7 linked regions of the Rattus norvegicus genome follow. The protein of the gene in region 5 interacts with the protein of the main gene of each other region in a biochemical or structural test. Links are inferred from orthologs where the notes say so. Each region holds a gene or a part of one and is shown on either strand. Other genes may lie near its edges. The genes, in order: Pparg, Ndfip2, Ube2e1, Scn5a, Nedd4, Map3k2 and Gabarap.

Evidence for each region.
Region 1: of the proteins of Nedd4 (region 5) and Pparg, one has a biochemical effect on the other in vitro, tested with the Homo sapiens proteins (2 studies listed by BioGRID). The link is inferred for Rattus norvegicus from reciprocal best matches to the Homo sapiens genes NEDD4 and PPARG.
Region 2: the proteins of Nedd4 (region 5) and Ndfip2 form a complex in vitro, tested with the Homo sapiens proteins (3 studies listed by BioGRID, with this or other methods). The link is inferred for Rattus norvegicus from reciprocal best matches to the Homo sapiens genes NEDD4 and NDFIP2.
Region 3: the proteins of Nedd4 (region 5) and Ube2e1 form a complex in vitro, tested with the Homo sapiens proteins (7 studies listed by BioGRID, with this or other methods). The link is inferred for Rattus norvegicus from reciprocal best matches to the Homo sapiens genes NEDD4 and UBE2E1.
Region 4: the proteins of Nedd4 (region 5) and Scn5a form a complex in vitro, tested with the Homo sapiens proteins (3 studies listed by BioGRID, with this or other methods). The link is inferred for Rattus norvegicus from reciprocal best matches to the Homo sapiens genes NEDD4 and SCN5A.
Region 6: the proteins of Nedd4 (region 5) and Map3k2 form a complex in vitro, tested with the Homo sapiens proteins (2 studies listed by BioGRID and IntAct, with this or other methods). The link is inferred for Rattus norvegicus from reciprocal best matches to the Homo sapiens genes NEDD4 and MAP3K2.
Region 7: the proteins of Nedd4 (region 5) and Gabarap form a complex in vitro, tested with the Homo sapiens proteins (2 studies listed by BioGRID and IntAct). The link is inferred for Rattus norvegicus from reciprocal best matches to the Homo sapiens genes NEDD4 and GABARAP.

What each region holds. Positions count from the first base shown.
Region 1 is NC_086022.1:150,217,692-150,221,767, reverse strand, and holds the end of Pparg (peroxisome proliferator-activated receptor gamma), read right to left. Parts: intron 1,113-4,076; coding exon 865-1,112; 3' UTR 664-864; downstream 1-663. UniProt on the Homo sapiens protein: Nuclear receptor that binds peroxisome proliferators such as hypolipidemic drugs and fatty acids.
Region 2 is NC_086033.1:88,491,928-88,495,729, forward strand, and holds part of Ndfip2 (NEDD4 family-interacting protein 2), read left to right. Parts: intron 1-239; coding exon 240-364; intron 365-2,938; coding exon 2,939-3,005; intron 3,006-3,802. UniProt on the Homo sapiens protein: Activates HECT domain-containing E3 ubiquitin-protein ligases, including ITCH, NEDD4, NEDD4L, SMURF2, WWP1 and WWP2, and consequently modulates the stability of their targets. As a result, may control many cellular processes.
Region 3 is NC_086033.1:9,918,899-9,922,700, reverse strand, and holds part of Ube2e1 (ubiquitin-conjugating enzyme E2 E1), read right to left. Parts: intron 1,084-3,802; coding exon 951-1,083; intron 307-950; coding exon 159-306; intron 1-158. UniProt on the Homo sapiens protein: Accepts ubiquitin from the E1 complex and catalyzes its covalent attachment to other proteins. Catalyzes the covalent attachment of ISG15 to other proteins. Mediates the selective degradation of short-lived and abnormal proteins.
Region 4 is NC_086026.1:128,193,465-128,197,707, forward strand, and holds the start of Scn5a (sodium channel protein type 5 subunit alpha), read right to left. Parts: upstream 3,007-4,243; 5' UTR 2,864-3,006; intron 1-2,863. UniProt on the Homo sapiens protein: Pore-forming subunit of Nav1.5, a voltage-gated sodium (Nav) channel that directly mediates the depolarizing phase of action potentials in excitable membranes.
Region 5 is NC_086026.1:82,341,037-82,344,838, reverse strand, and holds part of Nedd4 (E3 ubiquitin-protein ligase NEDD4), read right to left. Parts: intron 3,024-3,802; coding exon 2,964-3,023; intron 2,224-2,963; coding exon 2,116-2,223; intron 1,340-2,115; coding exon 1,243-1,339; intron 1-1,242. UniProt on the Homo sapiens protein: E3 ubiquitin-protein ligase which accepts ubiquitin from an E2 ubiquitin-conjugating enzyme in the form of a thioester and then directly transfers the ubiquitin to targeted substrates. Specifically ubiquitinates 'Lys-63' in target proteins.
Region 6 is NC_086036.1:24,080,106-24,084,433, reverse strand, and holds the start of Map3k2 (mitogen-activated protein kinase kinase kinase 2), read right to left. Parts: upstream 2,991-4,328; 5' UTR 2,549-2,990; intron 1-2,548. UniProt on the Homo sapiens protein: Component of a protein kinase signal transduction cascade. Regulates the JNK and ERK5 pathways by phosphorylating and activating MAP2K5 and MAP2K7. Plays a role in caveolae kiss-and-run dynamics.
Region 7 is NC_086028.1:55,211,712-55,216,280, forward strand, and holds the start of Gabarap (gamma-aminobutyric acid receptor-associated protein), read left to right. Parts: upstream 1-1,753; 5' UTR 1,754-1,859; coding exon 1,860-1,949; intron 1,950-2,490; coding exon 2,491-2,569; intron 2,570-2,708; coding exon 2,709-2,827; intron 2,828-4,259; coding exon 4,260-4,325; 3' UTR 4,326-4,569. Other genes in the region: Ctdnep1 (CTD nuclear envelope phosphatase 1), read left to right, coding at 129-189. UniProt on the Homo sapiens protein: Ubiquitin-like modifier that plays a role in intracellular transport of GABA(A) receptors and its interaction with the cytoskeleton.

The sequences.
Region 1 (4,076 bases), on a different chromosome or scaffold from region 5:
ATACTATTGCAATACAGCTCACTACATTGCCAATGTGTTAGGCAGCGTAGGTATCTACAGAGAGTTCAAATGATAGGGGGAGGGTGCGTAGTTTATTTGCAACATATCGTGTTATCAAAATGTGAACACCTGTGGGGTTTGGTACCTTCGGGAGGAGACCTGGCACCAGACCCCATGATTATGGAGGGATGACCACATGTTAAACGGGTTGCTGGTGATAAGTGAAGATTCTGTTAGAGTCATGGAAAAAGTTTGGATTCTTGTGAAGCCTAGAGAGCATGAGGACCTGAGTTCAACCCCTCCCCTCCACTCATCTAAAAATGCTAGGCAGGGTAGCAATGAGCAGGCGGGGACACGAGGCTCCTCAGGGCTCACTGACCAGCTAGTCTAACCTAATTGGTTGATTCTAGGCCAATGAAAGACCTTGTCTCAAAGTGGGAAGGTGACAGTCCTGAGAAGGAGCCAGCTTTAGAGCTGCCCCTGGGCCTCCATACACATGCACAGCACCCCCACACATAAACATACATACGAGCACACATGCATGTCAAAGAATGAACAAGAAAGAAAGAAGAAAAGAAATAAAATGGGGGAAATCCTTCCCCAAATCTGTGATGGCTGAATGGGAGGCATACGTCCACTCTTTAAATACCACAAACAATCTTATAGTGTGGTAATTTTTAATATTAAAAGTAAATTGTAAATGTATCTTTATAAACAATATGCATAAAATAGATCATGTTCTAAAACTTTTTGTTTTTAAATGCTTTTTTCACAGTAAATTTCTTAGGTGTCAGATTTTTTTCCCCTCAAAATAATAGTGCAATCGATAGAAGGAACACTTTGTCAGCGACTGGGACTTTTCTGCTAATACAAGTCCTTGTAGATCTCCTGGAGCAGAGGGTGAAGGCTCATATCTGTCTCCGTCTTCTTGATCACATGCAGTAGCTGCACGTGCTCTGTGACAATCTGCCTGAGGTCTGTCATCTTCTGGAGCACCTTGGCGAACAGCTGGGAGGACTCCGGGTGGTTCAGCTTCAGCTGGAGTTCCAGGGCCTGCAGCAGGTTGTCTTGGATGTCCTCGATGGGCTTCACGTTCAGCAAGCCTGGGCGGTCTGGGAGAACGAGAAGAGAAAGAGGCTTCATCAGACCTCTGGGCTGGCTCTAACCTGTGCAGCTTCAGGCTCCCGGCTCCCTCTCCGGGCTGGAGGTGAAACCCAGACCTTGAGCTGTTGGGCGCATGCTCCACCGCAGAGCCAAGGCCCCATCTCTGCCATATATCTTAAGCGGGTTTGAGAAGTAAAACTCTGCAGCTAATGGCAAGACCTAAGGATGGAATCAAAAGCTCCAGCCCTTCCCAGCCAGGACTAAGTGCGGTGACACCATCAGGGGCATCCCAAGGTGTTCTATCCAAGGCCTCTCTGTCAACATGCTTCTCTTCTCTGAAATCACATTTCCAATCTTTGCTCCTTCTGGATGATTGTTTTTATAACTTCTACCTACATTCTCATAACAGCTTCAAATAAGATTTTCAAGTGTAAGCCTTGCTTACACTTGTTTTTTGCTTAGCACAGCACATCCCATTTCCAGCAAGATAAAGGACTGCTGCACTTTGGAGGGATGCTCCCCTCTCTGCAGGGTAGCCTCTGAACCACTTGCTAGGAAACCCTTGTGTCAGTTTTACCTGACCGTGAAGCAAGTAGCTACTGCTTTGCCACAAGTGTGACATTTGCTGTAGATTGTGGTGAATATGATTTGATTTGGTTTTCCAGGTATTTTAAAGTTTTAAATTTGTTTTAGTCAGGAATGTTGGTTAAATTTTATTGATGGCTTTTAAAATTTTCTATCTAAAGAGATGTGAAATCTGAAAAGATGCAATCTTATCTTAACCTAATGTAGCGGATTACATTAACAGACACCTTATGTCCTTGTACTCATTTGTTAAGGGCTTATTTGGGGCTTCGTAATATCTGTGGGTGATGTGGTCAGGAGTGTTACCATCTGAGCCAGCCATTGCTTGTTTGGGTAGTAACTGGGAACCAGCCTTATGAGTGGAGCTGTTTTTGTTTTGTTTTGTTTTGTTTGTTTGTTAGTTTTTTCCCTTCAGTTTTAACTGCCCCTTTGAGGTTTCTTGGAATTCATTTGAAGAGCCCTCTGGCCGTGGTAACAAGTCCTTCATTACCTTTGACTTTTCTTGTATTACTTTTCATCCACCTAGGTTTTTTATAATGTACAAAGTAAGACAAATAAATTCTTTAGGATGAAGTTGTACATGATATTCTAGTATAATCTGGAATCTATTTTTATTATATCTTGAAACGGTTTTATTAACTAAAAAATTGTGCATAATGGTGAGTGGATTTCATCATGACATTTCCATACACGCACTGCATGCACTTTGACCATATTCCCTCCCATTGCCCTCATGGCCCCCTCCCAGCCCAGCAGAATACTTTCACTCTTCAACCAGTCCTTCTTCTGTTTTCTTCTCCCTTTTTATAAACTAATGGAATCTGCCCTTTTTATGCTTCTTAACTCAATGCTTTTTGCGTGCTTTCTCATTTTAAAATTTTATTTGTAAAAGATCTATTTTTCTTTAAGATTTTCTATGCTCCTTATTTATTTTAGTTTTTGTGTGTTGTCTGCATGTAGGAATGCACACCACAGGCAGGCCTGCTGCCTTTGGAGGTCAGAACAAGGCATCAGATTCCAATGGGGGTGAACTACTGGCGAGTGCTGAGAATTGAATCTGAGCCCTCTACGAGAAGAGTCAGTGCTCTAAATCACGGAGCCATCTCTTCAGCTGTGCCCCCTATTTTTTTTTTCATTAAAATATAACCTTTAGTTTTATTAATCAACTTAAAGTTATATTTTTTCAATGTTTAACTCCTTTAAAAATAAATATATTCCATCTTTCTTTCTTTCCTTTTTTTTCCTCTCCTTTCCTAACTTCTTGATTTGAGTGCTTTGCTCTTTTAGTTTTAGGATTTCTCATGAGCTCATTAGGGCTCTAAATTTTCCCCCAGTGTCACTTTGGTTTCATCCCACAGGCCTTCAGGAACAGGCTCTCATTGTTCTTTTAGAATAGCCTATCTCAGAATGTTGGCTTTATTATCTTTTAACCCAAGAGCTATTGGAAGTATGTTTTAAATTCTCCCCCCCCCCAAATCCCCAATCTCTTTCAAGACAGGGTCTTACTATGTGGTTCTGGCTAGCCTAGAGCTCACTATGTAAACTAGGTTGTCCTAGAACAGAGATTTGCCTGCCTCTGCTTCCTGAGTGCTGGGATCAAATGTGTGCTCTACCATACCTGCTGCTTTGAAATTTCTGAGTAAAGGGTTTGTGTTTTGGTTCTTGTACTCTTAGCTTACTGTGTTTGCTAGAATTTATGGGTTTTCTCTTTAAGACCTACTAAAAATGGATTCATCTACAACATTTAGGACACATTCAGCAACTTGCATTGATTCCTAAGGTTAACCCTGCAGGTTGCTTACTCTATTAAGTACGGCCGCTCTTCCCCCTTCACCATAAACTCACTCACATCTTTATATCCTTCTCATCTGCCACTGTCCTTCTCCCCCATCTCAGTTTCCCTAGTTATCCTTCTGCTCTAACAGCAGCAAGGCACTTCTACTCCAACTTCCTCCAACATCTAGATCCATCAGACAATCTACAGAGACTCAGTGCCTACCGCATGAAGCCTCCTCACTTTGTAGTAATATCAGCTGCTTCTTCAAAAGGAGCACCAGTGGGGTGGAATGCCTCTTCCCCACCCCTCCTCTCTTGCCCTCATCTTGTTACTCTGAGCCCCATAGCACCTTATGACCACCTCTGCTCTCAGCGTCTGAGGTCACAATTGCTGGATAGTTATATAGTTACAGGATTGGGCTCATTTGATCCAAACACTATCACTTAAGTCCCCCTTCCCTTGTGCTGTCGCACTGCATTCTCTTTCCTTCTGTGCCCAGGAAGTAGCAGTGCTCTGCTGTCGCTGAGCCACCAGTGGATGGATGCCCAGTGGGCTCTCAGCTGGCTGAGTTAATGAGCCAGTGGTTGTCCTGGCCCACAGTCCCAGGTGG
Region 2 (3,802 bases), on a different chromosome or scaffold from region 5:
TCATGACCTGCCGTTTGAGCTCCTGTCCTGACTTCGGCGATGACCCATGGGGTGAAGTTTATTTGCTTAGTAACCGATAGATCTGCAGACAGCAAACTGCGCGGTCTCTAAGAGCAGCCCACGTATAAAGTTAAAATAAAGTGGTTTCATTCTAGCAGTGAATGAAGTATTGTTATTACTATGTTTCTCTTTATTTGTGTAGGAATTATGACCTTAAATCATATTTCTGTTATTTGCAGTGGCATTCATATTCAACTGGCTTGGATTCTGCTTATCCTTCTGTATCACCAATACCATAGCTGGAAGATACGGTGCTATCTGTGGATTTGGCCTCTCACTGATCAAATGGATCCTTATTGTCAGGGTGAGCATCTCGATGGTTTCCTCCTTACCTTCTACCATATGGATTTTCAAGTTCATTAGACTTGGTGACAAGTGTCTTTACATAGTGAGCCATTTCTGCAGTCTCTCCTGGGTTTTTCAAGGATGGACCTAGAAGGGTGATCAAGGGTAGCTTTATTCATTGTGTCATGTTGTCTGCGAAGCTGTGTGTCTACCACTCTAAAGCCAGTGCGCTGGGAGAATGGAGCCTGAAAATGAGGAGGACTAAAGTCTTAATGCAGTAACCAGCGTCATTCAGTGTCAGAGTTTATACTTTGAGGCTTAAGAAAAGTCAGATGAGTAAAGTGTGTAATCACAAAGACAAGCCACACGTGGCAAAACCACGTTTATCCATAGAGGCATACGGATACTCACTCCTGTCCACTACACCTGGGAGGAGCACGGAAGCATACTGTAAGAGCAGTTCTGTGTGTGACGAAACCGAGATCACAAGTCTGTTCACAGAATCTTAAATGTTACACAATTACTAGAGTATGTAAACTATACAAATAATCAGTACTTAGACATTGCTTTCTGGTTGAAAGAGCTAAATCTTGGCTAAAGTTGTCAATAGAATCACAGGTCTAAATGTTTGTTTCTGTTAAATGCTTCAGATGTTTTATTAATTTATTAACAAGTATAATTTATTAAAGTAGCCATTATACAAATATTAATACTCAGAATGATATTTTTATTAGTTTTGAACTTGTTTTATAGCTTTGATTCTTTTCACAACTCCTACACTGGTACATATCAGACTGTAGGTTTCTGACTGTTAATCTTTTGGGGTCTATTATAACATGATTGACGGTTGAACCATTATGAGAACTGTCCTCTGATAGTTTTTTGTTTTAAATTTACTTCAGATGATGTCCTGTGAGTTTCTACCATGAGCTTAAATCAGCTAGATGGTGTATATACACAGTGACAAAGCTACAATCCTCTTGCAGATTTTCTTGCTGGAGAAACTGAAAAGAGTTGAGTTACGTTTGTTCAGACTTAGCTGTATTAGAACTGTTGCTATTACTCAAATGGAATTTCTCATTGAACATAGCAAACAATTCAAACCTACTGTCTAAAGTTTCCTAAGTTGATGCTTTGCTAGCGTGATTCCTGGTACACAGAAAGGAAGTCCGTCCATCCGGTATGGCCTGTACCCTGGGGGTTTTAGAACCTCACTCTCATTGGCATTCTGCTTGCTGAGTGTCAGGTAACATGCGGAGTGCTGAAAACAGAGTTGTGGGCCTTTCCTTTTTTGTTTTCCACAGCTTCTAAGACTCTTAGGAAACTTCTCTTGAATATAAAGTGGTTTTTCAGTTATCGTTTTCTCATTGTGTGTCTTATATGTGGGAGTCTGCAGCAATGGTGGTTTAGATGTTCCAAAGGCTGGGATATTCAAACTCTTGTGAATCTTTAAAACTCTTAGCGTAGACCGTAGGTAATAGCTCTTGATTAATTTAAAATTCTTCCAAAGAAAGTACTTCAGAGGTTTTAAAGACATGTTTTGATAATCTTGATTTATATGCTTCCCAAGTTGCAACACCATGTATAATTTGTACTTTTACTATTACCAAAGCTGTAGATTTTTAAGCTCTTATAGAAATTACCAACAAATCATTGGAAATGCTTTTAATTAATTTCAGGTTCAAGCATCATTCTACCTTTTTTCACAATTTTTAGGTAAATTGGATTCAATTTGGAAATCAGTAGAAAGAAATCAATCAAAACTATCTTTTTTGTTTGTAACTTTTAGAATATGTTATCTGAAACACTTAAAAGTAATTATTTGGAGGCACTTTAAGATGTAGTGTGAGTTACCTGCTAAGGACGCTGCACTGATGTACTACCAGGCTCTGAGAGTGCAGTGTCTGCTCTAGAGAAGGCCCCTGTGCTCTCTGCTGTGAGGCCACCTGCTGAAGGCCCACCTCACACAGGACATGGCCGGCAGCAACCACTGTTGAAATGCCACTTCGAGGCTCATTTAGCTATTCTCCGCTCACTGTTGGGAGCTGAATGTCAGGCATCTAGTTTGAAATAAAAAGTTTCTAATGAGTTGGGGGGTCTTTCTGTGCCTAGTATTTTTGGCAGTGATTAACAGTAGGGGGTGTAACAGAAGGTCAAAAACTCTCCATTTTAGAGGTCACCAGAACATCCCCATCTGATAAGATTAACCTACTGTGGCTTTTGTGTTAATACCCAAAGCAGCAGGTGGCTCTGGCCCATTTGGGATGTGGCTGTGGCTTTGGGACTGCATAAGAAACTGACTTTTCAATGAAAAAAAAAAGTTTGATTCCAATAGATAACATTTAGGCATTTATCTTTTTGCAAGCAGTTTGGAGGTTTTGTTTATAAAGTACTTTACGGAAGTTTACAATCGCATAAGAATTTTTTCACCATTAAGTATTATTCCTGCCCTTTCCTTTTGTGCTGTTTTTATATGCTATTTTTAAGCATTAAAGATTATTTAAAGAGATAATTTATTCTGAAACCTAGGATAATACAAATATTCAAATGTAGTTATACAAATATGATTAATATATTTATGTTTACCCCATAGTTTTCGGACTATTTTACTGGCTATTTCAATGGACAATATTGGCTTTGGTGGATATTTCTTGTACTTGGTAAGTTTATTTTTTTATATTCCTTTTTATTTAATCTTTTATTTTTTTATACTACAGATTTACATTCCAGATCCCATACCTTCTCCCTGCCCGTCTCCTGAGGACGTCCCCTCCCCTCAGGCCTCTAGCCTCCCTGGGGCCTCCAGTCTCCTGAGGGTTCCGTGCATCTTCTCTGACTGACTGAGCCCAGAGCAGCGTTCCTCCTTAAGGCAGTACAGTTTAAAATAGTGTTTCTTTATTGCTCAGCTTAACTGCTAGTCCTAAAATTATAAAGTGCAAGTAAGTTGTGTTCCTTCCTAGTGTGCAGAACTAATTCTAGTGTAAAGGTTGCCCCCACTTAGCTCCTTAGCAACGGAGGGAACAGAGGTGCTGGGACGATAAGTAAGTGCTACAGAGTTTGAAGTTTCTACCTAATTAAAATAGTTATCTTTATGAATTATCTTAGGAAACACACGTGTATAATTTTAATGACAATGTAGCATGTAGGAGGGTTTCTGCATGCAATGCTGTCTTCTTGTTTTTGGATCACAGAAACCTTTGTGCTTTTGAAATGTGCCTTTCCTTAATCATTAACCCACAGTGCAGGGAAAGGCTCTATGGCCAACGATCACAGTACTTCTGCTTAGTTGTCTCCTCAGTAAGGCACAATTTTTATTATGTTGGTGACATCTGTGGGTTTTCAATAGTAGGTGGTAGTTAATTTTAGCATCATATTCTACTCGTGACCCATATTTCAAATGTCTTGACTGTTGAGACTCATTTTAATTCTTTTAGGTTTCAGTAGGTGGCAGTCTTCT
Region 3 (3,802 bases), on a different chromosome or scaffold from region 5:
CTTAGTGATGAGCCCAGAGTAGTAAAGTGGCTGCGTTTCCCACCAGTGCGCTAAACTCTTGATCACAATGTCCTTTGAGAACCTGGGTCTTAGCTTGTGTTGAAAACAAGTACTTTGTCATTTACTAAGAAATACAGTGCAGGTGACTACAGTCTTACCAGGATTGCAGTCTGTAAGGAGTGAGCAGATAGAGAGGAGGACTTTCGAGATGGTTAGTGCTGGGCTCCAGTTGTCTTTCAATATGTCCAAGCAGATAACTCCTTGGCTATTAATATTACAGTGATAAATTCTTGTACGAAACGTAACCTAAAAGTAAGGCAGTTGTTAAGCAGCATCAGGTAGGGGCATTAGGACACTTCAGGCTAACCCCTCCATCTCACTCTACAGCAGTGACCACTGCTCGAGGCGAACAGTCCACACTTCCTCCCTTCTCCATCAGGCCATCCTGGTGCCGTGTACCCCACACTAGCTGCAAACTTTTGATCCTCCCCTCTGCTTCTGCTTCCAGACTGTAGGATGACATATGTGTGACTAGTAGCATCTGGCTTAGTTTTAATGTTTAGACATCAATAGGTCTAAGTTGTTGGTTGTCTGCTGGCCTCTTGTGTTAGCTGGAAGGAACACACTGCTCCGGAGTCATTAAGTCTAAGAAGCTATAAACAGCAATCTTAAGTACTTACCCTGGAAATGCCTATGACCAATCACCAGTCATCACATTCACTTACACTAGCAAACACTGCACAGCAGGAAGCTAAGCTCTTCCGACCTACACAGCAGATCTAGACTGCACCGCAGTCCACACAGCTCTTCCAACATGGAGGGGACTGGGTAAGGAGGCGTCAGTGGCCAGCAGCACACACGTGGAAGAAATCTGGCTTTTGTGAGTACATTGAAAACTTTAATCTTTCTCAAGGACAGTTAAATGTGAGAAGACACAGGAGACTCCTTACCTTTGGAGGCTTGAAGGGATACTCTGGTGTAAAAGTGATGTCGAGGAAGAAGACTCCACCTTCATACACAGACCCTGGAGGCCCCAGAATGGTTGATCTCCACTCATAGATGTTGTCACCTTTGGGACCAGCACTGTGAAGTAACACACGAGCAGATAGATAAAGACATGGTGATGCTGGACCAGAAAAGGAAAAAACCCCTTCCCCTCATCCTTTGAGTTTAATGTCTGGTTCTCTTCATAAGGAGATTTTGGTATAAAGACATTGTCCACCAGTCAAGTAAGCCATGACAGAACACCAGGTCCACTCTAAACACACTAGCTACAGCTGGACACACTTTCCTCAACTCTCAGACGTAGTACGGGAAACAACAATAAAGATCCGTGTCTCGGAAGCTAAGCTGCTGGCTACTCTGCTCTGAAGAAACTCAGGACAAGTCTCACTCAGTAACCGGCTCCTGCCAGCGCTTCTCACCAGGCCCCATGCTAACCACCTCCCCCATCTTCTCGCCATTGCTCAGCTATCTTGGCTATGGCTCCTTTGGTCCACACCTCCGGTTTCCCTCTTGGTCAGCTCGCCCCACCTTCCTTCTTTCCTTCCTCCCCATCCAGTCTGCTAGTTAGGTTCAGTCTGGACTTCCCAGATGTCTCTGCCTGTTCTCACCTCTTATCTACAATAAGACCTCCTCCTCAACCATACCTAGGAGTGATCATGTCCTCATTTTTGACTCAGTGACAAGTTTTCTCATGGCTACATCATTTCTTAGAACCTTTTAAGTAACCAGAATCTTTTCCTTAATTAAAGTGCTTAGCAAAGTTTGGACCCTGGTGATGCTGATAAATTCTACACAAAGACGTACAGCATTGATTTCCAGCCTCCTCGTGTACACATGTGGACACAAACACACACACTCAAAACTGCTTTAGCTATAGATCACGTTACACTCCTCCACTTCTGGTCCCCTGAGACAGAGTAGCTCGGACTGTCTTGAAAGTCACAGTCCTCATTCAGCTCCCATGAATGCTGGGTCATGGGTCATTCCAAGTTGGTGACTATACTTCTTACCTTATAAAAACTGAGTGAGAGGGGAATGTCAAGTCCGTAATCCGTTCTCACTCAGTGTTAGACATGGACTCTTACTAGCCATTAACCAAACCCGTTCTTGTTAAACATACTTGGTTGTACCTTCATTTGGCTACATCATCCTTCTAAAACATGGCATTGGCTTCCACTGCTCTGTATTCAAGCACCTTAGCAACAGAGTGAAAAAGCTTACCCTCCGATTCTGAGACCTAGAGAGTATAATGCTTTCTTTATAATCACAAGGTGTAGTACAGGGAAAGATTAAAAGATGATTTACTTCTATTTATGTAGTGAGAGAGTGAGTAAGTGAGTGAGAGTGTGTGTGTGTGCACTCATGCATGCCCCCCGCCCCCCAGCACACACTGCCTGATCTTAGAAGTTAGAAGAGGGCATGAGATCCCCTGGAGCTGGAGTGACATGTGGTTGCGAGTAGCTTGACACAGATGCTGGAAACTGACTGAATCCTCTGCAGGAGAATCGGGTGCTCTTAAGTGCTGAGCTATCTCTCCAGCCTCCAACAATATCTTAACCAGCCCTATCCTAGGAATAGACTCTGACTCCTCTGGAAAAAGATGTTACCTTTACTGCTTCATTTACTAAGAACAGAATGGGTTCTCAATTATCAAAGGTTAGCTTGTTTGTGTCCCCTGCTTAACCTACAGTAGGATGGTGACTAGAAGGGAGATTGGGCCCTTGGGGACAGTTACGTCAAGAAGTCATATATGAGCTTAGTGTCTTAAAACAGACCTCACCACCAGAATGTTAGCTTCTTACCTGCCCCCTGAGGATAGTGAAACAAGACATCTGTCTGGAAATTAAGAAATGTTCCTCACTACACTAATACTGTTAGCACTTAGGTCTTGGATGCCTCATCCCAAACTGATAGAGGAAAGCTAAGCCCTTTAAAATGCAGTCAACACCATTCCAAACTGCCATCTAGAACTATTCTTTGTCAGGCTGGCAAGACTGAAGAGTCAATGTGGTGGACAGAACCCACTTTCCATGCACATGCGGACCAAGCTGTCCTTGAACTTGGAGACCCATCTATCTCTACCTCCAGAGCGCTGGGACTGAAGTCAGGAGCCACCGCACCCAACATTACACTTAAAAAAAATCAAGAACACAATTATCTGTTTAAGAAAAACACTGAGCTCCTAGGGTTGAAAAAAGGACTGTGAAAGTAGACAGGTAGACATCAGCAGGAAGTGAGAGTAGAGAAAAGGGCCCTGATATCCATGTTTCAAAACAGAGCCCAAGCAATTTCTGACATTCGTGATCTGATTGCTACTCCATAAAAGTGAAGACTCAGTCCCCCAAGAGCAAGACTGCGAAGACTGCCAGGGCCAGAGGCCAGCCTCAGACCTTCCCCAGCTCTGAGGTCACTTCTGGATTGTTACAGCTGGGATGGAGGGCACTCTAGTGCCTGGCAGGTAGAGGTCAGGGATGCACTAACCACCCTGAAGTGCACTTGACAAAGCACAACGCATATTAAACCAGCCGCAGATCCCAGCAGTCCTGAGGCTGGGAAGCCCTGCCTTGGATTCTTGAATAATGTTGGTCAGGGAGTAGAGACAATTGTGAGCACAGCTCAAGTCAAGCTTAGAAAGGATAAATGGTTTTAGCTGATTACAAAACAGCTACCGCTTTACCCCTCAAGTGTGCTGTAGAAAAAGAAATGCATATGGCAGGATTCCTGCCATCAGTGTGGTCCCTAAGCAAGTAACATCCCACAGCTTGGTTAGAAATGCACACACTAGACTCTATCCTAG
Region 4 (4,243 bases), about 46 Mb from region 5:
CAGCCTCTAACACCATCAGAACCACCTGTCTTCTGTTTTCAGAAGGACACTGCCGGCTCCACCCCAGAACCAGGAGAATTAGCATGCTGGGGGGGGGGCGGAGCTTCAAGCAGATGTTTTTATGTAAAGCTTCCCAAGTGATGTTCCGGTGGCCAGGCAGCCCTGGCTCCAACAAACAGCCTCTGCTGCCCTTCTGGAGCACCTACCTCCAGACCCAGCTCCTTCAGGAAGCCTCCTTCTCGGAGCCTTCCCTCTAATGCTCAATGGAAGTCAAATTGCTCAGAAAAGGTTGACCACTCAGACTTCACCCACCCATGCCCCTCACTGTATATACAGGGTAAAGGGTGGGTAGCTCTGAGTGCCCAGAAAGGCATGGGTATCACAGTGACAGGTTTTTCCGTGGATGACACCACCGGGTGTCACCAGTGGCCTGCCTGGTGCACCCCTTCAGCTGAAGGGCTCTCTAAGTCTGCACAGGCCCCCGTACAGCAGAGTCCGACTACTTGAGAGATGTGTGCCATGACCCGGCTGCTCTCCCTTCTTGGCCTTTAGTTTCATCATCTGCAGAATGGTTGTGACTGAGGTCCCCACTCTCGGGCTGACCTGGGACACTCTGGGAGAGGAACCCTATGAAGCACCTGGTGTGGCCTGGTCTACAGAAAGCACTCAGTGCCTATTAGCTATTTTTAGAAACATTACTGAGGATAAATTCCCAATTCATGAGAAGAGCTTGCACACCCCCCCCACTCCACCGTGCCTTGGTTCCTCCTCATAACATGGGGCCCAACAGATCGCTCTACTAACTGTCGTTTTATCCCCCTGTATGTTGTGCTGATTGATTGGTGACTGAACTGCACCGTCCTCAATCGGAAAACTTCTGTTCATGCTTCAAAACCCAGGCGGAAGGTTATCTAGGCTAGAACAACAGCCTCGACTCTCTTAATCAAAATCGAGACCTCTTTTGTGTTTCTGGGGAGAAGCCTCTGCCACTGCACTCTTCCGAAAGCTTTCTCAAGGTCAGGAATGAGTCCTGCAAAGGGGGCTGTGGTTCCTCACGGCTGCAGGTTGCCCCCAGGAGCCCCCTCTTTGTGGACTGATTGCCTCAGCGCCAGCCTCCTCCGCTCCCCCATCCCCAGCTGTCTCTGGTGCTTCCCACTGTTCCTCCATGCTTGTTCTTCATGCCAAGTGAGTCAACCCTGGAAGTCTTCCAGGGGAGTTCTGATGGCCACCACACACAGGGACTAGGCTCTCTAGAGGGCGACAGCTGTCCGTGTCACATCAGGCTTTGAAAGGGGGGTTCTTAGCACCTGAGGGCCACTCTTCTTTCTGTTTAGACCCTCTTTGGTTGGTTCTAGGTCAAATTTGGACCCCCAAGAAATAGATTCCAAGGGATTTTCACCCTGTGGGTCCTCCCCAGTCCAATGATTCTGTGTGACCTTGGATAAGTTCTTGACTCCTCTGGGCCTCAGTACCTGTGTGGTTGTGGTGAAAGTTTCGGAACCTTGAACATCCTAGCAAAGACCCAGTGTCCCGTGCTCCATCTGGCTGTGTCTTGCTTCTGTGGCAGCAGTCTGTCCCACCTTCAGTTCACTCTCCTGTGCTATCACCATCATGTATGTGCACCCAGCCGATTCTAAGTGGGAAGGGACAGGTAGAGAAGTGGAGGAGTGGTCCAGGGCTGGGGCTGCACGGGGAGCAGGGTTGGGGGGTTCTTAGTTCTGAATGACAGTGAATCTACAGAAGGTTTGGGGTTTGTGGAGGCCCGTTCTGTGCTTCTCTGTTTGGTGCTTGGGGGTCACTGCTGGAAGGGGCAACTCACGTCCCCAAGGGCACACTGATCCCATATCCCACTAGACTGAAGTCGCTAAGGAGACTAGGTCGAGTACCACGGCTGTTCCGTGTAAGCTGCCCTCCAACAGGTGTTTGGAAGGCCTGTCTACAGCCAGGCCTCATCCTGAGCATTTCCTCCCATCGTGAGCACCACGGTTACCAGTCCCCACCACATCACTGTCCCCACCAGTACTCAAACAAGGCTAGGCACCTCCACTTCCTCTCAAGGCACCTCCAAAGACGATCAAATAACACAGAAGTCGGGGACCTCAGCCCTCTCCTGTCCGGGTGCGAGAGTCTGTCCAGGTCAAAGCAAGGAGGGTAAAGAATTCTGCCGAATTTCCAAGTCCAGAGATCTCTCCCCTCTCCGAGCGCACAGAGACAAGAGGAGATCCGACCGCTTCAAGGCGACAACAGGGCACCAAGATCTCGGCGTAGTGGGAGCGCCCAAAGACAGGGCGCACTCTTAGATCTGACCCCCAATAGAGTGCACAGATTCCTTGCAAGGGTGCAGCGATCTCGTCTAACCGAGGGCACAACCCGGGTGCCGAGTTCCTCCACCCCCGGGGCCCAGGGAAAACGAGCGCTCGGCCTGCTCCCTAGTCCTGGTCAGTGCCCGCTCAACCCTTTCACCCCCAGCTCTCGAGAGCCACATTCTCCGCGCGCCTTGTCGCTGCTCTGACCTTGGGGTCTCCGGCCTCGGGAATCCGGGTCCCAATCTCAGCCCATTGGCGAGTCTGCGCCAGCGATGGTCCCGGAGCTGGGGCCGAAGCTCCCCATCCCCCGGCCCTCGACAGCGCACGGGGAACCCGGAAGGAGAGGGGACGGGAGGAGACCCGCGGCGATCAGAGACGAACAGGGGAACCCCGGCCCGGGCCACCTGCGCCTCTCCCGCCCCTCCCCCCTCGGGGACAGCGGCTGCGGGGGCTGGGGACCCGGCCGGGCGGCTCCGGGCCATCGGGGAGGAAAGTTGGGCGGCGGCGGCGGACGGAGGGGCGCGGGGGGCTGCGGGACACAGGGGGTGATCGCTCACCTGATGGTCCCCGGCCCGCGCCCCGGGGTGGGCGGCTGCAGCGCGGTGCGGGCTCGGCTCGGCGTAGGGCTTGGGGCAGCGGGCTCAGGCTCAGCGGCCCCGGGGGCGCGATCCCCGCATCCCACGGGCGCCGCCGCCGTCTCGGCTCCGCCGTTCGGCTCGGGCTCCCGGGCTCGGCGGGCGGCGCGGGCTCGGGCTGGGGGCGGGGTCGGGGGCGGGCCCCGCCTGGGTTCGGCCTGGGGCTCCGGGGCCCCGGGCTGGCTCCGCCCCAGAGCGACGCGCCCGGGGCTCCGCACGTGGCGCTGCGCCCGCCTGGCTCGCGGGGAGAGCCACCCTGCCCGGCGGGGCGCACGCCCACCACTCTGACCCCGGGTGCGCCCTGCTGGAGACGGCCGCCCACGCGGACACGGACAGACAGACACGCGGACGCACGCCGACCTGCGGACGCCTCGCTACAGAGAGCCACCCACGCAGACCTGGACCGGCACACACCGACAAACGTTGGCACACACGTCGCCCAAGCCAAAGTACACAGACACACCCCTCCTCGATGATATGGGGACCCTAACCCAAACCTCACTTATCCACACTTATTCACGTACATGGACATGGGCAGGACCTGACATCCATGCTGAGACACACTGACACACATGCACCTACGTTGACACACACACACACAGATACAGATACCAACACACATATGAACATGGACATACACATACAGACAGGCACCACTGACATACACTGGCATTGAGGAACAATCACTGATAAACCTAATTATACCACGTGACTTAGAGATACATCCACTGACACACTGACATGCGAACACTTAGAGCCACATTTCTAGAGATAGAATGACAGTACATAGACCCATGCGTTGTAGATATTTATATGGCCATGCTGACACATGAACTCAGACAGAAATCAAACACACCCCCAGACTCCATTTCAAACACACTAGCAGCAAACACTAGCAAACCCACAGACACGAATACCTCCACACACTCACCCTCTTGACCCGTGTTCAGCCTTCTAGTTGACCCACAGAGGGATACCAAGTCCCACACTGACAGGAGCACTGACTGTCCTACAAGAATACCGTCACAGACACTCATACACGTGGACAGACAACCGTGCACATGTTGGTCCAGCTTCATACATTCGCTTGTACAGACAGAAAGACCCACAGACCCACATCTCCCTTATTTAAACATGAGAGGCCACTACCATAGGACATTTTGAGCGACTCAGTGTCCAGGGCTATCACAGGAACACAGAGGTGCACACAGACACCCACTCTGTCCTTTGTCCCGAGGTTTGATTTCTCTGCAGTATTGTCAAACTGCTAGGAGACAAGTACTCTGGGAAGGTAAAGCCTTC
Region 5 (3,802 bases):
ATGTGCACGCATCATTGCCAGAAGGTTTTCAAGAGGCGTAACTTTCTATATTTTGTCCTCTATGATCAGATCCCACTATAACTTTTAGTCCTGGGGCTGGAGAGAGCTCAGCTGCTAGGAGCCCACACTGTGTGGCTCACAACCTCCCATAACTGTAGCACTGGGGGATCTGACATCCTCTTCTAGCCTCCGTTGGCAAGCACATGGTACAAAGACATAAATGTAGGGAAAACACGATTACATATAAACTAAAATGAAAAATAAAAGGAAAGGAGAGTGGGAGCTATGTGTGATCTTATCTGGGATCCCCCCATCTTCCACAAGAATGAAGCTTTACCCACACCTCACACCAAATCACAAAAGGACTCTCTGCTCAAGAAAGCTTGGGAAAACTTACTCTTAATTTAACTTTATTTTTTTAACAAGTTCCTAAGAAATCGTTGAGTTCTTCCTAATCTGTGTTTGCTGGAGGTGTGCATATATGCACACCTCACATCAGGCGTGTGACTACGCTCTCTGCTCTTTATTGAAATGCCCTTTAGGATTTGTGGACTGAATGTCTGTGGTAGCTGAAGCAGCAGGAAGAGAGTCCTTGGGTAAGAGGGAATTAGACTTTCTTTAGTGTAGTCTATGTATCCTCCAAGGCTACTATGGCATAGATGTCAGCTAACGCTGTTTCACTGCTGTCTCCACCCAGTATGCTAGAGCAGTGGTTCTCAACCTGTGGGTTGCAACGACCCCATTATAGGGGTCACCTAAGACCTCTGGAAAACAAAGGTTTATATTATGATGCATAATAGTAGCAAGATTACAGTTATAAAGTAGCAACGAAAGTCAGCATGACACATGGAACTGCATTAAAGGGTTGTAGCGTTAGGAAGCTTGGGAAGGAAGGAACTGGGCTAGAGGTGCTGCTGTTTCTGGGACTACAGAACGCAGCTCAATGCTCAACGGCGAAAAGTAACTCAGCCACATGCCAGGTTCTTGGTCACTATCCAAGATAGTAGTAGTGACAGAAGGTAGTGACATCATCCACTTCTTTTTAGGGCAGGGTCTCTTACCTACCTGCAGCTTGCCAATTGGTCTAGGCTGGCACTCTACCAATCAAGTTGTCTCCCAAGCCTTCAACTAAATTTTTAAAAGTTAAACTAGACTTGAAATGGTAGAAACTTAAAGACTCTTCAGCTATGAAAATAACAGTCAGCTTCTGTGCACTTCTGAGAATCTACACAGGACTCTTACCATAGAGTTCAGCAAATCCATTCATAGGCACACGGGATGTGCCAGTAACAAACTGAAGTAAGCGTATTCTTTTTTCTGAATCCATCATCAAAACAGCCTGAAAAACAGAAAGACTTCTGCTAGAGAAGAGTACTGAAAATAACAGAGAAACTGTCTTGGAAAAACCATTTGACACCCCAAGCCCCACCCCGCAGTGGTGGTGGCAGGTGGATCGCTGAGTTCAGAGCCAGCCTGATCTACAAAATGAGTTCTAGTATGATAGCCAGGGCTACACAGAGAACCCTTATCTCGAAAAACAAAAGTCATTAGAGTTTAGAGAATAATCACTAAGGTTTTGTTCTTATTCTCAAAAAACTTATTTCTAAGGCTTTTCCCTCAGAAATGGAGAGGGCCTCAGCAGTGAAGAATGCTCACGGCTCCTGCAGATGGCCTGGGTTTAGTTCCCAGCATGCACATGTTGGTTCACAATTGTCTGTACGTCCAGGGGATCTTACACCTTTTGGCTTCTACTAGTATTGTACACATGTGACATAAACTCATGTAACCACGTATACACACACACTTAAAAAAAAAACCTTTACAATAATTACATATTACTAAAAGTCACATATCTAAGAATTTAGAAGAGCCATGTTACAAGTTCTTCGAGACAGTCCTCACACTGGTGAAAACTGATGTGCTTATTTCAGCTCATTTCCTACGATTCTGAATGCCTTCCGTACTTACCTCTGGATATCAAGAAGGGTAGACTCACATTCAAAGGCATTTATGCAAAATTAGAGGCCTGTCTGCTTTGCTGGTGCACTTTTCAGAGTGCGACACACTCTGAGAGTCACTCTACAGGTGGCGTAGTATGACTGAACCTCAGATTACCTTCCAGAACCAGTGGATGACCTGGTGGTTTAAGCTGTATCCATTTTTGTATTTTGTATGTTCCCTCCAGTCGTTCACGTCCACATCTCCCAGACCACACATGAGAAGCTGCAGACAGACAGACACGCAGTCAGAACTGTGAGCAGGGAAAACCGGTGCAAAGCTCTGGGTTTTTTCCTCTCCTGAGTCAGGGTCTTACTACATAACTCTGGATGTTCTATAATTCATTGTATAGACCTGGCTGGCTTCATATTCAGAGGGTCACCTGCCTCTGTCCCTCAGTGCTGGGAATGGAAGAATGCATCGCTACATCCAGCCAAAGCTGTTTTAACACAGAACATTTTCTTTGCTGCCCTGTTCTATTGCATGTTTATATGTATTGCAGCATGTCTATGTCATGTTGTGAGTGAGGAAGTTAGCGATAGCTTGTGGGAGTCCATCTCCACTCTAGGTGTCAAACTCGGGCTGTCAGGCTTGGTGGAGGGTGCTTTTCCCATCTTGTGGGCCCTCCAGTTCTCTTTTTAAAGACAGGGTCCCTGTAGCCCAGGTTAGTTTCAAACAATGTAGCTGTGGATGACATGAACTACTGGTCTTGCTCCCACCCCTCGAGTGCTGGCTAATGGGTATGTACCACCACACCCTTCTACACCGTGCTGCGGATGGCGCCCACGGCTTCACACCCTCCCTCCTCCTCCCCACTTTCTCTCCACAAACTGCCATACTCTCCCTTCCTCCCCACTCCTCCATGCCCTCGCCTCCACACCAGTGGCACTGAGGACTGAACTCAGGGCCTGCATGACTGCTCAACACTGAACTACATTCCCAAGCACAGCACAAACAGTTGTTACCTCTAGTTCATTTTCATCGAATATCTTGATCAGATCCTGTGGTATCAGTTCAAAAAATCCCTAGAAGGAAAGGAATGTGCCCAAAGCTGGTTAGCAGGCTTGGCACGCTCAAGCATCTTGTGGATGGAACACTCACTCCTACACAGATCTTGCCAGCATACTTTCATGAACAACCCTTCACTGTGATCTTAATGTGGCCGTCCTGTCTTTATTTCTCAAAGTGGCTATGTTAAATCCTCCCTCCTCCCTCTTCATTCCTTCTACACGTACTGAGGAGACTGAGGCAGACAGAAGCCCATCCCCCATCCTGGCCAGGCCCACTGCAGGAGGTGAGCCCCCTCAGCGGGCCTCACCCCTTCTGTTGCTCCCTCCTCCTCCTCTCCTTCACCTACTGAATCCTGTCCTGGCCTGGGACCTGCAGTAATCCTGCCTAAGTCCCCAATCGTGAGTCAACTGCACCTTTGTTAATTTCCTGCGTTTTCCTCGTCAGCCCCACTCAGGACTGAAGACACTCATTCTCACCACAGGCACAGCTACTTGCTCATAGCTCTTTTCTGCTCCTCTAGTCCCCAGCTTAGTCTCACTGTGCCCTCTGTCCCCACTTCCCAGTAAGATTCTAACTGTGCAAGACAGCCAGAGCAGGAAGATTTGCCCAGGAAGATATAGTGAGACTGCCACACAGCACCTGAGCAGAGGTAACCAGCCACGTGGCAGAATAAAGTTCTCTTAAGTTCTAATTCTCCTCAGAGAAGATCCTAACTATAAGGCCAGGGTCCATGTAAATGTATGTAAATGTATGCTGAGTCTGAGTCTTATTTCGGGGTCATGGGGCTGGAAGA
Region 6 (4,328 bases), on a different chromosome or scaffold from region 5:
AGTGTGACCTTCATGATGGGAAGCAGTGCTAAGTATAATCTACCAGGCATTCTTGTTCTTGAACTCCTTAAAACTAGTTTACGATCAACAGCTAGTGTAAGTAGGGTAGAGAAAAGACCTACTAGTTGGCTTCACTGGAAGGAAAATTTCTGACAAATGCAAAATGTGAGTCATTTGCTAAGATAGCTGAATTTTTGGTCTCTTATGTTATTTCACAAGGAGGGTCTGAAAAGAGTCGGGTTTGGGTAAGAAAGTCTGTACAATGCTCTAAATACCTTCTCACAACAATGTGAGAGATGTACATGTGTGGTATTAGCTCACACTGAGGAGGAGGAGAGAGCTGGGGTTATCAGTTAAGAAGGAGCACAGCACGGGCTGCCTTGAAGAGGACTCTTTTGGTTCTCAGCACCCATCTGGTAGCTCCCAACCACCTGCAGCGTTAGTTCTAGGTGCCCCCTCTACCTCCACAGTCATGCACACACACACATAAGTTTTTGTGTTGTTTTAACTAAACTAAGGATTTATCATGTTGAAGAAAATGAACAGTAACAGTATTTTACCATGCCAAAAAAAAAAAAAAGTGCCCTTGTCATTGGGCAAAGCAAGCTGACACACATACTGTCAACAGCTGAGCTTCAAACGGTTCAACCAAAACTAATATACATTAAATACAGCAAGCTATCAACAAACGTTGAGTGGAGAGGGTCGCCATATAGCTGTTTACCGCTGACAGATTTCTTTATGCTTAAACTGCCTTCATGATAAAAAGTTGTAGAGGAGAGACCCAAAGCTCTCCAGTTTTCCAAAGCGGGAAACAAACAGAAGCAGAAGCACACTAAATGCAATGCAGCATCTACTATCGTAAGTCTGTCCCTTTGGCGGCCATCAGCTAGGGAGCACCGCTCCACCTAAAACACCACGTAAAAAGATTCCATCTCAATTCATCATCGTTTAAGATAAGCTCTTGACAGCTAGTCTTTCCAACCAGACACACTGAGAACATGACTGGACAACCATTCTACAATGACACCAAATTCAACCTACTTCAACAAACGTCTGTATTTTAGCCAAACAAACCAGCCTGTAAGCCATTCACCTGTTAACGCTGTAAATGTGACCTCTTCCCTACACATTATTACAAAGACAGTCAACTACAAGTTTCCATCAAGGTGTGATATGCTAATGAAATTTGAGCGTTATAATTGAGCATTTGCAGTGACATGAAACTTCAATTACTCGAAAGGCATTTATCAGCATTTTCTTCTGTAAAGAGGACCAGCTCTGCTTACTCACTAAAATGAGAATTTTCTGTCAGCTTATCAACTAATTAGTAGCATCTTGCATAGACACATAAACCATGCCAACAAAATGATCACCTTCCGTGATATTTTACACATTGACTTCTGACATTAAACCCTGAGATATTACATTAAGACAATGAAAAGTAGGGGTTGGGGATTTAGCTCAGTGGTTAGAGCGCTTGCCTAGGAAGCGCAAGGCCCTGGGTTCGGTCCCCAGCTCCAAAAAAAAGAACCAAAAAAAAAAAAAAAAAAAGACAATGAAAAGTCACCATAAATACTGACATTGCCACATAACCCAGCAACCAAGTTTGCAAGAAGGAATTCTCAGGCAAAGAAGATAACCTGTGAGTTTCCTACACACATTAACAACAAAGTGCAAAAATAAAACATAACCTCGAAAAAATGTGCAGTTTCATCGAGTATATTTCTTCTTTTCAGTAAGATGGTAAACTGTTTTCTGTACAATCTTCCTGTACACCTATAAGGACGCACAGAACCACTTTTTCCACAAGTAATGTCTTTGAAAACTAAACGACGGGGATGAGCTGTGACAAAATATATATCCAGCAACTTAAATCAAAAAATGTGAACTATCTCGCTATCTCGATAGCTGTTTTGAATTTACAACCAGGGACAAACTCTTCAGCCAATCTCATTTCCCTAACGTACTTAACTTTTGCAGGACGGTGAAACGAAGACCCTACACAAACATATCTACTTCTTCGATAACCACTGGCATGACCTTGGAAGTTATACCTTTTTCTCACTGAGCCTTGATTTTTTTTTTTTTTTCATTTTTAAAGCTAGTAGAATGTATGTATACTCGTCTCGCAGGGCTGGGAAGGTGAGAAGAGTTGACCTACAAGTCAAAAGCAAAAGAGCAAAGTATATGCACGCGGAGAGCTGGCCGACCGCTCCAAGGTAAGGGGAAACAACCTCCATCAACAGCCTGCCACTCCGACATCCCAAAGACAAGCACCTTTTTTTTTTTTTTTTTTTTTTTTTTTTTTTTGGTTTAAAGCACGTCGGTCTCAGTTTCCTTTCGACCAGCTAGTGGCAACCTTCTGGTTAGAATAAAATTCCCGCGGAGTACGAGTCTAACAGTTCTCCAGCCCACTTCGCACAGACCTGGGGGTTCTGGGGTGAACCCCAGCCAGGCAGGGCTATCCCCACCTCCGATACTCCCACCCCCTGCAGCGGAATTCCCGTCCGTGGGCCCAGTCGCACGCTGAACCAGAAACACTTACCGGCCTCTGGGCGGGGATCGTGGAGCGGAGGGCCGAGAGGAGGCCACGGAGCTGACCCCTCCGCCCCCGCACGGCCTGTCACCGCGCCCCCCAGGAGCAGCGCCTCGCGGGGTCCCCGAGGCCTGAAGGGCCGCAGCAGAAACCAGGCCCAACCTGCTTCACATGGGACAGCGGGCGCGCAGCCCGGGGCCTCTTCGCTGCTTCTGGGTAGATGCAGCCCCGGGGCCCGCCGAGTAAACTGGGCCGACGAGGAGGAAGCCCCGGGCCCGCGTCGCGGGTGACCGGAGAAGCAGCTAAGCGGAAGCGGCGACTCTGCGACCAGATCGTTCTCTGTCGGTCCTCTTTGTCGCCGGTCCCGCAACCCAGGAACGCCGCGCCACCCTCGCCAGGCGATGCGGCTGAGGACAGCCGGGCCGCCACTACACACAGACCCGTGATGTCTGGCGTAGCACGGCGGCGCACGTCACGGCGGCTCGCTCGTGTGCGCGCAACCCCTCCGCCCGCCGACAGCGGAACCCGCCGCAACCGCGCGCCCGGCTGAGGCGAGCTAGCAGGCGCCTGCGCAGTGTCTACTCTGCGCAGCACACCCGGCTCCGCCCACTCAGGTCTCACCGACGGCTCGACGTTTCCAGGGCTTCAGACGGGGTGCGCGCGCAGCGGGACTACTGAGTTTTGCGCATGTGCATAATGTTGGCCGTCAGAGTTACGCGGAAAGGGTTCCCCTGCACCAACCCCCACTCGTACGGAAGGCAAGAAGCGGCATCGCGGAGAAGCGGTGATTTTAGAAATCACTGTATTGTCCTTAAACCACAGCCTTGGTAGCAAGCTAGTTTTAAGTGTTTTCTGGTTGATCCACTAGGTTATTACTTATCCAATTTACCACAGATGACTTGACATCACACGCCCGGATCAAAACATAGTGAAATCTTTCACCAACGCCTTCTCTTGCTCCTCTTGGCCCAAGAGATAAAACACAGATTAATCAGTGAGCTAGATAGCTCTGGAGGCTCTCGGTGATGTGACAGCATCCTGAGGTCTTTACAATACGCAAACCCACCCAACACCCTTTCGGCCTCATCTAGCCTCCAATACCCTTTATAATTTCCTGTACCGTTCCTCCTTGGTTATCAGAACAGTCTGATCCCTTTTCCTGCTTGGAGCAGACCACATTCCCACCCTAGCATTTGACATGAGAGAGATGGTATAGCTGACACACACAAAGCCCAGGGGTCAGAAGAGACCCAAACTTTCGAGGTAGCTGGCCTGACAACAGGCTCAAGGGGCAAATGTTGAATACTATCAAAACGTCTGCATCTCTGTTCAGGAATTTTCATTATAGATCCAATGATAGAGATAGCAACTGCAGAAGAACAGGGATATTTACCCCATATCTGTAGAAGCTAAGTGAAAACGCATGCTGGTAAGTACCCATACTCATAGAAATAAATTTAAGAGAAGAGAAAGGATAATTCTAACCCAGGACGACTTTCACAGTGGCAGGGGTACCAGGTGGCATAGCAGTGGGAAGGAAAATGTCACAGATGTGCCTGAGGAGGTAAGGGAAGATTTCAGACAAGAGGCATGCTACCTGAGTCCTCTGTTGCTCCAAGACAAATTACCACAGACAGCCAGAGGTGGTATCATGCCTGTATCCCAGCTACCTAGAAATGTTCAAAGCCAGCCAGGGTTACTAAGAGAAATCACATCTTGAGAGAGAGAGAGAGAGAGAGAGAGAGAGAGAGAGAGAGAGAGAGAGAGAGAGAGAGAGACTTGATGACTT
Region 7 (4,569 bases), on a different chromosome or scaffold from region 5:
CCTTTTGGCTTCTGTCCAGTTTCACTGTGTGAAAGTGTTATTGAGTTGTGTCTTGTCCAGTGAGACTCCGTTGTGTTAGTGTTGTCAACTGTAAGGTAGTCCACCAACGCAAGTTCCTGTCATTCCAGGTTCACTGCTGATGTCCGATCGGTGCTGAGCCGAAACCTTCACCAACATAGGCTCTGGTGACAGCTGCTCCCCCTCCACCTGAGTTGGGGTGGAGGGGAAAGGGAGGGAGAACTCTTCGGACGGCCGTCTGTAGCCCTGTCCAGTGTGAGGACTGCCTGGGCAGAGTCTGCTCCTCCCGCCCCTCTCTGCCCTGGGAGCCCTACACTCCGCTTACGGAGTCAGGATGGACACATGGGCCAGACTGTGAAGCAGCCTCACTCTTTGTGTTCACACTCCGTGGAAATGCCAGACTGGGACAGGCGAAGGCCTAGGGGAACCGAAACCGTCTGGTGAAGAGGCAGGACTGGCCAGAGTGACAGACATATCCCAGAGGCTCAAAAGAAGCCAATTCAACTTTGTTGTGATTTGATTTTTTAAAAACTCTTATACAAAACTGATCTAATTCTTCACTCCTGCTCCAAGGGCTGGGCTGTGGGTGGGGACTGGGATTTCGGGCCACTGGATCTTCCTCAGTCTTGTCCCTTCCTTACTTTTCCTCATTTTTTTTCTTTCCCCAACCCCCCAATACCTGTAATCAGCTCCTTTCTTCCTTCCTCTTTTAAACCATGCATTATAACTTTGAAACCAAAGCTGCCCTAGATCCTTCTCTGATGTTTTTGGAGGGAACTTTGTTACATTTGCTCTGCCTCTGAAGCAGAGGGGCAAGATGCTGTTTGGAGTGCGGAAGTGGGATTCAGCACAGGGATAAAGTAATTTATGCCGGTGTTTGGCTGGAAAAGCCCCACTGACTGGATAGAGTCCCTGATGCACAGTGGAAGAGCAACTTTAGGACATAGAAGGCTGAAGAGGAAAAAAATCTAGAACCCTCGAAGGGCAAACAGCTGGAGAAAGGCTGGGCTTGACTGGGAAGTTGACGTGGACAGGCTGAGAGGGCGCTGCCTACGAGCTGTTGGCACTCCGGCAATAACTTGGGGCGGAGCCCTCTTTCCTGGCACCTCCTCTCCAGAGCCGGGACTACATTTTGGCCCTCGCCACGTGATTCTCCGCCCTTTTCTGAGGTCACATGATTTTGTTTGCAACACTCCGGGATGTGTTCCTCCGCCCTGATATAGTCCCTATCTTTGGGATTTTTGCAGTTTCTATTGGTCCGCCTGAGTCTTGAGCCTTCGCTGTGTCTGCAAACCTCTTTCTTCTCCGTCTTATGGTATCCTTATTCACACCTTGGGTACTACTTTGTTTTGGTGTCAACGGCCACCTTCAGCGTAGCAACACGTTTCATGAATATCTAGACTTGTAATTGCCTTTCCCTAACGTAATTTCCGAAAATAACTGCAGAACTAAATCTCACGACTGCCACTTAGTACCACTCTCGTCCTCTGCTTTGTACTGTGGGGCTACCTGGGGAAGGATTTTTCAGTTGACTTGAAACGACAGCAACCTTATCTGCGATGTCATACGCGTAACTCACAAATTGATTCCAAAGCAGTTACGCTGAAGGCGTAAGAGGACGGAGCAGCGGGTTGCGCTAGCAAGCTGAGCTCGTGGTGTATGTCAGCAGGCGGGGCCGGTCCGGACGGTCGGGGGCGGGGTTGGTGAATAGGGAAGTGGCGCAAATTCGTGGATCGCTCCGCTGAGTCTGTTCGTCGAAGCCGCCTCCGCCGCCGTCCCCTGTCCCGGCCCCCCCCCTGGGTTCCCTCAGCCCAGCTCGGTCCAGCCCGGTTCTCGGGAGAATGAAGTTCGTGTACAAAGAGGAGCATCCGTTCGAGAAGCGCCGCTCTGAGGGCGAGAAAATCCGAAAGAAATACCCAGACCGGGTCCCGGTAAGGACTAGCCAGGGCCGACGCTAGCGTCGCTGACGCTGTCGCCACAAACTAGGCTTGAGTCTGGGAAAGCCGAGGTCAGACTCCAGTCTGCCTTGAGGTTAGAACTCTTGTCTCTGGTACCAAGGGCGAGAGGTCTGAAGAAGTAGAGCTGGGAGTGCGATGTGGACGGGAGAGAGTGAGACCTGGGAATTTCTCAGAATGGAGGCCTTAGTGAGCTTGACAACCAGAGTTTCCATGGCCATGCTCCCAAGTAGCTAGATTTAAGGTAGATTTTTTTTGACCTAAACAAGTTATCCTGTATTCACTGATGAAAATAGTTATTGTGATGAACCGTTCTGGGATCAATTCTCAATATTTAGGTAAGACAGTGAGGCCAGGATCTCTGGACCTAATGTTGATACACCACGCATGTAAGGATAAATATTATTAAGAAATGAGATTGCAATAGGCTTCAGTACAAGGAAATATTGTACCTTGAGTTCTTCATCGATATAGCTGTACGTTTTTTAAAATCTCATTCGTACCTTCCTTTCATCAGGTGATAGTGGAAAAAGCTCCCAAAGCTCGGATAGGGGACCTGGACAAAAAGAAATACTTGGTGCCTTCTGATCTTACAGGTGGGAGCTTGACCCATGGTGTATGTTTCTTTCTGTGGGTGGGCCTGCCATCTCTGTGGGAGGAGGCTTCACCTGGCAGCTGTTTTCTGGTGGCACCTACGATCTCTTTGACTTTCTTGTATCTCCTGTTTTTGGGCAGTTGGTCAATTCTACTTCTTGATCCGGAAGCGAATTCATCTCCGTGCTGAAGATGCCTTGTTTTTCTTTGTCAACAATGTCATTCCACCCACCAGTGCCACGATGGGTCAGCTGTACCAGGTATAGTACCATGGCCGTGTTTGGAGAGGAAAGAAAAGGTCAGCAGTTCCTGTTGGCTTACTAGCTTTAAAAGGTCAATAAAGTCCTGGGTTGGGATCTTAATAGCAGTGGGAGGAGAGAGGGTATGAGCTGGTGGAGTTGTTTTGACTGGGACTCTTACTACCTAAGGAAGTCTCTTTCCCTTATCCAAGAGTCCCAGATGTCAAAAAAATAGTTTGAGGAGTGGTGGTGTTGTTGGTTTTGTTGTTGTTGTTGTTGTTCTTTTTTCTTTCGGAGACAGGGTTTCTCTTTGTAATCTTGGCTGTCCTGGAACCCCCTCTTGTAGACCAGGCTGGCCTCTGAACTCCAGAGATCCACTTGGTTTTGCCTCCCTTGGGCTAGGCTTAACAAAAGGTGTGTGCCACCACTGCACTAAAACTTGACATGTAGACCAGGCTGACCTCAGGCTCAGAGATCTTCCTGCTTCTGCTTCTTGAGTGCTGGTATTAAAGGTGTTAGAAGTTCCAGTCCTGAATAACGACTGATAATGGTGCACACCTTTGATCCTCTAAGTCCAAGCACAGTTTTAATCCGATCCAGGCTGCTGGATTTCTTGGAGTTTGAGGCTATCCTAATGAGTCAGAGATACTTAGTGAGACCCTGTATCAAAAATAAGAAGTAAAAACAAAATAAAACAAATCAAAAACACCTTCCCCCCCAAATTAAAAAAACCCACAGAACCACTGCACGTTGGGTGTGATCATGCCACAGCTTCAGTCCCAGCGCTCCGGGAGCAGAGGGAGGTAGATCTCTGAATTCCAAGGTCAGTGTGCTCTACACAGGGAGTTCCAGGGCTACATAATGAGACCCTATCTCAAAAGCAAAACCTCTAAAAGATACCCCCACCCCCACCCCCACCCCACAGAGCAAGCAAACCCTTGAGAGGCTGAGGCAATAGTATCAAGTTGGAGGTCAATGGCTGCATAGTATAGTGAGTTTGAGGTCAGTCTTTTTCTTTTTTGTATTTTCCAGACAGGGTCTCTGTGTAATAGCCTGGTTGTCCTGGAGCTCACTCTGTAGACTAAGCTAGTCTCCAACTCACAGAGTTCCTCCTGCCTCTGCCTCCAAAGCGCTGGGATTGACGGTGTGTGCCACCACTGCCCAGCCAGGGTCACCATTTCCTAAAGGAGCAAGAGAATAAGGACAGTCTGCTTTTCTCTTATTCCTTTTGTACTAAGGAGCATGTCTGGTACCTACAAATGCTTATGGATGATCTGTACCTGTAGATCTATTTTGAGTCAGGTTCTTAAGTTGCCTTGGTGGCCTTGAGATTTCCGTCCTTCCTGCATCTGGAATTACCAGGCCATGCTTAAAATGATTCTTGAGGAATGTATTGGTGATAAATGGTTGGAGTAATGAGTTGCCTTAAACCTCCTTTTTGCTTTTACTTCAGGAACACCATGAAGAAGACTTCTTTCTATACATTGCCTACAGTGATGAAAGCGTCTACGGTCTGTGAAGTTGCTGTCCCGGAGGTGGGGGTTCCATTCTACAAAGAGAGGTGGCGCTCCTTCCTTGGCATCCAGTTCCTCCTTCAGGCTCAAACACCATCTCCTTTCTTCAGGACCTGCACTTAATGTTTGAGGCTGTCTCTCCAGTCCCTCTGAGCAGGAGGGGTAATGGTAGATGCAGCCGCTGTACATCTCTCTTTCCCCTTGTTTACCCTCCATTCCCACTCTGCTTTAGACTTCTGGATTGTCGAT